Mus musculus: one gene and its partner. The protein of the gene in region 1 interacts with the protein of each later gene in a biochemical or structural test. Links are inferred from orthologs where the notes say so. Each region holds a gene or a part of one and is shown in the gene's direction. Other genes may lie near its edges.

What was found.
Region 2: of the proteins of Card9 (region 1) and Trim62, one has a biochemical effect on the other in vitro, tested with the Homo sapiens proteins (4 studies listed by BioGRID, with this or other methods). The link is inferred for Mus musculus from reciprocal best matches to the Homo sapiens genes CARD9 and TRIM62.

Annotation. Positions count from the first base shown.
Region 1 is NC_000068.7:26,354,770-26,358,187, reverse strand, and holds part of Card9 (caspase recruitment domain-containing protein 9), read left to right. Parts: intron 1-104; exon of another isoform or gene 105-172; coding exon 173-477; intron 478-543; coding exon 544-723; intron 724-859; coding exon 860-1,003; intron 1,004-1,304; coding exon 1,305-1,430; intron 1,431-2,663; coding exon 2,664-2,855; intron 2,856-3,264; coding exon of another isoform or gene 3,265-3,291; exon of another isoform or gene 3,292-3,316; coding exon 3,317-3,358; intron 3,359-3,418. UniProt on the Homo sapiens protein: Adapter protein that plays a key role in innate immune response against fungi by forming signaling complexes downstream of C-type lectin receptors.
Region 2 is NC_000070.6:128,882,499-128,887,101, forward strand, and holds the start of Trim62 (E3 ubiquitin-protein ligase TRIM62), read left to right. Parts: upstream 1-1,545; 5' UTR 1,546-1,671; coding exon 1,672-2,079; intron 2,080-4,603. UniProt on the Homo sapiens protein: E3 ubiquitin ligase that plays a role in antifungal immunity by mediating 'Lys-27'-linked ubiquitination of CARD9 downstream of C-type lectin receptors; leading to CARD9 activation, followed by activation of NF-kappa-B and MAP kinase p38 pathways.

The DNA of each region.
Region 1 (3,418 bases):
CCTACTGAGCACACTCAGTCTTGAGAGACCCATCCTACCAGTTTTCTCTGTGGGAGGCCAGGAATGCTCCCTCTGTCCCCCCTAGTCTTCAAATGCACACTTACGGACAAGGACCAGCACGGGGTCTGCAGGTGACAACCGCAGGCTCCATCTGACACCGCATGGTCCCCAGATGCATCAGGGGAGTCTGGCCTGACGCAGCTGCTGATGACAGAGGTCATGAAGCTGCAGAAGAAGGTTCAGGACCTGACGGCCCTTCTGAGCTCCAAGGACGACTTCATCAAGGAGCTGAGGGTAAAGGACAGCCTACTGCGCAAGCACCAGGAGCGGGTGCAGCGGCTCAAGGAGGAGTGTGAGCTGAGCAGTGCGGAGCTGAAGCGCTGCAAGGACGAGAACTATGAGCTGGCCATGTGCCTGGCACATCTGAGTGAAGAGAAGGGCGCAGCACTCATGCGGAACCGTGACCTGCAGCTTGAGGTAATCACTTTCTCCACCTGCAGGGGGTGGCCTGGAGGAGGCTGCAGCTGACTGGGCCACCCACAGGTGGACCGGCTCAGGCACAGCCTCATGAAGGCCGAGGATGACTGCAAGGTGGAGCGCAAACACACACTGAAGCTCAGGCACGCCATGGAGCAGCGGCCTAGTCAGGAGCTGCTGTGGGAACTACAGCAGGAAAAGGACTTGCTGCAGGCCCGGGTGCAGGAGCTGCAGGTCTCTGTGCAGGTAGGGAGACCCACCAGTGCACATCAGGCCTCATGCCTGCAGGGGCTTGAAGCTGGGCACACCAGATGGTACAACTGCAGTGGCCGTGCCATTGTGGGCCTCCTCAGCCAGGCTTGTTGCCTTCTGACACCTCCAGGAGGGTAAGCTAGACAGGAATAGTCCATACATTCAAGTGCTGGAGGAGGACTGGCGTCAAGCACTGCAGGAACACCAGAAGCAGGTCAGCACCATCTTCTCCCTACGGAAGGACCTCCGCCAGGCTGAGACCCTCCGGGCCCGGGTGAGAGACCAGGGCAGACAAGCAATGCCCACTGGGATCCTGGATGGTGGGGTCTGGGACCTGGCTCACTGTCAATTCGTACAGTACACAGTAGTGCCGTGTCACCCTTTGGGCTTACAGTGTGACCAATGGTGGCTGAGGCCATGGTCTTAGACTAGGTTAGTCTTGGATTAGATTGGACTGGAACTCCAGTGCCTTCCTCATTATCCCAGACCTTGTGTGCCCTGGAGCTGTTGCTCTGAGTCCAGCCCAGGGGGAGGAGGAGGGAGGGGAGGGTGAGGCTGAGTGGTGCTTCCTGTAGTGCACGGAAGAAAAGGAGATGTTCGAGCTGCAGTGCCTGGCCTTGCGCAAGGATGCCAAGATGTACAAGGACCGTATCGAGGCTATCCTGCTGCAGATGGAGGAGGTCTCCATTGAGAGGGACCAGGTAGGTGCCACACTTGTGTTCAGAAACGGAGAACCAGGAGTGTTGGGGTATTGGTGCGGCAGACACTGGAGCAGTAGTCAAAGTGTTTTGTTTTGTTTTGTTTTTTTTATTTATGCTCAGGGTAACTTGGCAGTGTTGGAAGACAGAACCCGGGACTGCTTGTACAAATGCATCAAAGTCTACCTTATTCAAAGGAGGAGCTTATGCGGGAGGAGAACACAGCAGTCCCTGTGGTGGGGGTGGGGGTGGGGTAAGGAGGTGGGAGACTTCAGTAGGGAGAGGAAGCTGCTAGGTGCATAGGCTGTGGGTAGGGAGCATTTGGTACAAGAACCTGTGGTGGCTCCCGGGCAGAGGCAGTAGTAGCAACTCACACCTGCAATCCCAGCAGTTGGAGGTTGAGACAAAATAATTACTGTGAATTTAAGGGCAGCCTGATTTACCATGAATTCCAAGCCAGTTTGGGGTCCAATGTGAGACCCTGTCTCAAAAAGCCACCACTAACAATAACAAAAGCGGTAGCAGCTGAGCCATGTTTGGTAGTACATGGCAGTCCCAGCATGCTGGTCCCCGGATTTAGAGGTAAAGACAGGAGAGTCAGAGATTCAAGGCCAACCTCAGCTAACAGTAAATAGGAGGCCACCTTGGGATAATGAAACTGTCTTCCAAGAAACAAAAGAAAAAAACCTTTGTGTTCATTTAAGAACAGCCATGAATCCTGGTTTGTTTGTTTTTTTTTTTGTTTGTTTGTTTTTGTTTTGTTTTTTAATGTCAAGCTGCATCCAGAATTTATAAAATATGTCACATAGGTGGGACAGAAACACCCACTGGCTATCTGCTGGGGATGTAGGACTTCTCAGTTGGGCTTCCTATGAACTACTGAGCATTAATCACGGGTTTTTTTGGCTGCTTCTCTGAAGTGTTTTGTTTTGTTGTCTGAGACAGTGTCTCATGTAATCCAATCTTGCCTTCAACTCAATATATGTGCAAAGATGGCCTTAAACTATTGATCCCACTTCTGCCTCCCCAGTGCTAAGAATCTGGTCATTTCCAACTCCGCCCAGGGTTTGTTCATGTACACTGAGAGCCCTGACTGCTTTGAGAATCCCTCCAGTTCAGCAGTTCCAGCCATACACCAGGGTGGTTGATGTCCAGCCAGGACCTGAACTGCCAAATGAGAGCCAAGAGCATCAACCAGGTCCTTTGCTGAGGGTGTGCCCTCTGCTATTCCTACAGGCTATGGCCTCCAGGGAAGAGCTGCATGCACAGTGTACCCAAAGCTTTCAGGACAAAGATAAGCTTCGAAAGCTGGTTCGAGAGCTGGGTGAGAAGGCAGATGAGCTGCAGCTACAGCTGTTCCAGACGGAGAGCCGATTACTGGCCGCCGAGGGCAGACTCAAGCAGCAGCAATTGGACATGCTCATCCTGGTAGGCCTCTGTGTCTGCTGTCGCCAGGGTGGGCTGGGCAGTGAGAGAGCTGGGGAGGATGTGAAGTCAAGGCAGGATTCCAAGAGGAACCATCAGCCTGGAAGCAGCCCTATCACTAACCTGCCATGACTGCTGCCCTGCTTGTGGCCTCGGAAAATGCCTGGCCTTCCTAAATCCCAGTTTTCCTCATTAGAGCTCTTCATGGCGAAGTGACAGCCACAGATGTAACTCAAGGTTATCCACACCACTCCAATGACTGCAGCCTTGACCAAGGAGTAACCTTCAGGTGGCTTGGAGTGTAGTGTTAAGAAAGACATATTCTGGGCATATCTAGAAACATGTGCAGGGCCTCCCTAGAGGATGGAGCCTGGATGGGGCTCTTACCATGCCCTACACACCCCATACCCAGGTGCTTGGAACCCCTACAGCCCACTGACCAACTCCCTTTTCTGTGGCCACAGAGCTCTGACTTGGAAGACAGTTCACCCAGGAACTCCCAGGAGGTGAGTGTGGACATAGAGTGGTCCTTCCCTGGCCTTCAACCTCTACCTGACCTCACACTC
Region 2 (4,603 bases), on another chromosome or scaffold:
ACCTCTTGCAGGTCCTGAGACAGCAACCACCTCCCTGGGGCCAGCCTTTCCTTCCTCCTGCAGGCCTCGGCTTTGCCACAGTTGCTCACCCGTGCCTAGCACTGCATGCATGCAAAGGGTCCCCCTCCTTCACTGTACTGATGATGTAGTGTGTATCTTGCACACCAAGAAACCCAAACCAAGGCAGGCCATTTTTCTGCTCGAAAGCCCAACACCTTCAAGAAATTCTTCTCTAAGATGCCCATGCCTTTCACCTTCCCCAAACTTCTTCCTTATCCCACTCTCAACAGAACAGAACAGAACAGAACAGCATGCAGGTCTCCATGTGCCCCCCCCCACTCATGCTTCTGTTCTCCCTGTCTCTGTCTGTCTCTCTGTCTGTCTGTCTCTCTCTTTCACCTTCTTAGAAATCCCTTTCCTCCCCTCCATCTGGCAGAGATGACAAGGTCTCCCATTATACTTTTTTTCTTACTCCAACTTCTTATACACACACACACACACACACACACACACACTCACACACATGCTCACACAGCAATGCAGAAACATCCGATGAATGGAAAGAACCTTTGAGCTAGACGTTAGGCAGGGTTCTCTCCACAATCTTCTACTAAGAGCCCTCCTTAGAAAGGGAAGAGGAAATAGAACCTAAAGGTTTAGGAGAATGGCGACTTTGAACTTAGCCCATGCCAACAGGGCAAGTCTCTAATTTTATCACTACAATCTATGCAAACATTATATATTCTATGCAGACTACAGAGCACCGTCTTGTCTTAATACTCAGTTATTATTGCCCTTAGTTCTTCAAATTGATCATCCGGAGAGATGTTCCTTAGGTGCTATCTTCTCACTTTTTCTTCATTAGCTGTCCTCTCGCCCCCTGCCGCCAGGACCCTAAACAAACCTGACAGCTGTGCAGACCCAGAAGAAACAGCTGTTTTTCCCGTCCCTGGGGGTCAGGAGCACAGTGGCAGCGAGGCGGGGTCTGGAGGCCCCTCCCCTCCCCCCGCCCGCCGCGGGGGCGGAGCGGCTCGGGTCCCGCCCGCGGGGGCGGAGAGGGAGCCTGGGCGCCGGGCAGTTCGGCTCGGCTGGTTCCGGGTTGAGAGGCTGCGCTGGACCGAAGCGGTGGCCGCTGAGCTGGTGCGGGTAAGGGGCCGCGCGGGGCCGGGATCTGCGGCCAGGGTCGGGCAGCTGAGTGGGCCGGCACCCCTCCTCTGCTCTGCCGGGCAAAGCCGCGGTGCGGCTGGGTCTGGCTGCTCTGTCCCGCAGAATTCCCCATCCCCAGCTCGACCCCCTCTCAAAGCTTTTCGGGTCCCGGGATTCCGCCCCTCTTCGGGATCTCCTCCTCGCAGCATCTATCCCTTGGGAGTGTCTGGTCCTCTAGATCCTCCTCGCCTGGAGCCCCTTCCTTGGGACGCCCTCGGCCTCTCTCCTCCAGCGCCCATCGCTGGTGGCCACCTAGGACCTCGAAACCGAGCTCCGGTGCTCGCATCCCGGGTGGCACCCACTCGGCACCGAGCCCTCGCGCCTCCGGCGTCGCAGACAGCTCCCCCCGCGCTCCCCGGCGCCTGTCGCCCGTGCCCCCGTGGGCCTGGCCCCCGGGTACCGCCCCCAATCGCGCCGCGCCGGCCGCCGGCCTCCCGGGCTCCGCTTCGCGCCGCCCCTGGCGCCATGGCGTGCAGCCTCAAGGACGAGCTGCTGTGCTCCATCTGCCTGAGCATCTACCAGGACCCGGTGAGCCTGGGCTGCGAGCACTACTTCTGCCGCCGCTGCATCACCGAGCACTGGGTGCGGCAGGAGGCTCAGGGCGCCCGCGACTGCCCGGAGTGCCGGCGCACGTTCGCCGAGCCCGCGCTCGCGCCCAGCCTCAAGCTGGCCAACATCGTGGAGCGCTACAGCGCCTTCCCGCTGGACGCCATCCTCAACGCGCGCCGAGCCGCGCGACCCTGCCAGGCTCACGACAAGGTCAAGCTCTTCTGCCTCACGGACCGCGCACTGCTCTGCTTCTTCTGTGATGAGCCCGCGCTGCACGAGCAACACCAGGTCACTGGCATCGACGATGCCTTCGAGGAGTTGCAGGTGCGAGGCGGACAGGCGGGGCTGTAGGTGGGGTCAGGGTTCCAATAGGGGCAAGGGCCACAGGCCGGCTTAATGCCAAAGGGGCGTGGCTCCTGTGAGGGGCGGGGCAGGGGCGGGTCCCTTGAGCATCACTGTGTCAAATGGGCTTGAGAGAGATCTGGATGGGAGACAGGTCGAGGTGGGATAGGATGATGGAGAGAGGAAGCTACAGCTGGACCAGATGCTGGCTGAGGCTGAGACAGAATGGGAGACAGCAGCTCCTTCTGGACTTTTGGGCAAAGGAAGGACCACTATCAAAGCTAACCTGGGAGTCGAAGTGGGGTGTGTGGGAGGGGTGAGCTACTCTAAATGCAGCTACAGAATTCTGGAATGTTTGGGGCATTGTGGGATGCGGCTTGCTGCTCCAGGTGTTCATTGAGATCTAGAGTGAGGCCTGGGCCTCGGTTGGATGATGAAAGTGAGAGTTAAGCTTAAGACGTGCAAATTGTTCAGAGGGCAGGTTTGGGTGCCAAGATTAGATCAAGGTATGTGAGGTGAGAGTCTAAGGTCGGCCTCAAGTTCAGATATGACAAGAACCTTTTTTTTAAAATTTAAACCAGAGTAGGGGCCAATTGAGAGTGGAACCAGGAATTAAAGATTCAAGATTTGGAGAATTAGACAAGATTTGGAGGAGGGGAAGACAAGCTTCTAGGAATTCCCAAGGCCTGGTGATGACCCCTCTTGTCTTCTACATCCGAATCTTTGAGTACTCAATTGGACATAGCCCTTAACTGCAGCTAGTCTCCCCTAAACCTTTCCGTTGTCATTGACAAGAGGGCAAGACCCTGGTCAGTGTGTTTAATACTCTAAGACCCCACCCAAACATTTTCCTTTCCTCAAGCTCCATTGTCGTGTGTGTGTGTGTGTGTGTGTGTGTGTGTGTGTTTGTATAGAGAGAAAGAAATATAGGTAGATACACGTGCTGAGAACTACATTTTCCTGGATGTCTTCTATCAATAAGATAGTATTGATATCAATAATCAATTATTTTATTGTCTGTGTGCAAGTATCTTGCCTGCATGTGCACCATGTGCATGCGCACCAAGAGGCCAGAGGAGGGCATCAGATCCTGTGGACCTGGAGTTACACACGATTGTGAGTCACCACCGTGGGTGCTGGGAATCAAACCCAGGCCCTCAGCAAGAGCTCTTAGCTGCTGAGGACGGTGATGTTGCCGCCTCAGGGGTGGGACTCTAAGGAGAAGCATTCCACGATCCGCTTTAATCGGATAATGCAGCATATCTTCCAAATCCTCCCCACTAGAGGATTCTCAGTAACACAGTCACCTGGTGGAATTCTGTTACACAATCTTGGTGGGAGGATACCCACTAAAGCCTATTTAATGATGCTCAAGCGTCTTTGACTTCTTTTCTCAAGCTGAGCAGTTTCAGCCCAGCCAGTCTCTTCCCTGGCTTTGGGATACCAGTCATAGACAATACCTCAAGGTAGCAACAGCTTTTTCCCTGGCATGTTTATTGTCCCCAAACTGGCACAGGCTTAGCCCACAGGACCTATCAATAAAACTTGAATGAATGAATGAATGAATGAATGACCAAACTTGGTCTAAGTTCACCCCAGCTGGAGGATTCCAAAGTGGAAGATGTTTTTCATATATATATAAAAAAAAAAGAATAAGAAATAGAGTCACTAACCTGTGAGTGGTGAGTTCTATGTCCCTCAAGATATTTAATCAGGAATTTAAATACCTACTCTCCTGCCTGGACTTTGATGAGGCTGCCCTGGGAAGACCTTATCTGAAGTGTGTAGGGTGGGAGCATCAGCAGTTCCTATTGCCATCCTTCCTCCTCCCAAGATCTTTCCAGAACCCCTGTACCCTGCTGGCTAGCCTCATCTCTCTCACCTGAGGAAGAGACTTGCCTCAATGAACCCCTTTGGACTTAGGCAGGTGCTGGCAGAGAAACTTGCCTCCCTTTCGGGAGGCTATGCTGAGAGGTGGGGTTCAGGCCACACTCCACCCCCTTCTGCCTCTCCTAGGCTCATTAGCTGCTGGGGATGGGGCAACCTCCACCCTCAAGGTCTGCTCATCCCTCTAGCAGCGCTGGTGGCTGCTGGAGCCTGTGCTGAGGCCCCTATCCTGGGGAATGACGGAGACGCTGCCAAAGCCTTGGAGATCATCTGGTACAGAGCACACTTGACAGATGGAGAACCGGTAGAGTGGGGGAGGGGACTTGCCCCGGGGTCTTGAAGGCAGAGGAGTCCAGGCTCATACACATCTGGGGTCTCCAGGCCCCCTACCCAGAATTAGGCCTGCAGCTTTTACCTTTATTCCAAAGCTTGGAGGCTACAGAGTGCAGAGATTAGTAGTAGCTTTGTCTTCATCAGCAGGCTGTTCCACCCTGGCCCTGCCATCTGCTGGCTGTGTGACCTTAGGGAAATGACTTGCTACCTCTGAGCCTCTGGCCCCTTGACCTGCTGCGCAGAACTGCTCTGTGCCATAGATGCTGGAGGGCAGGGGCTCTGCACC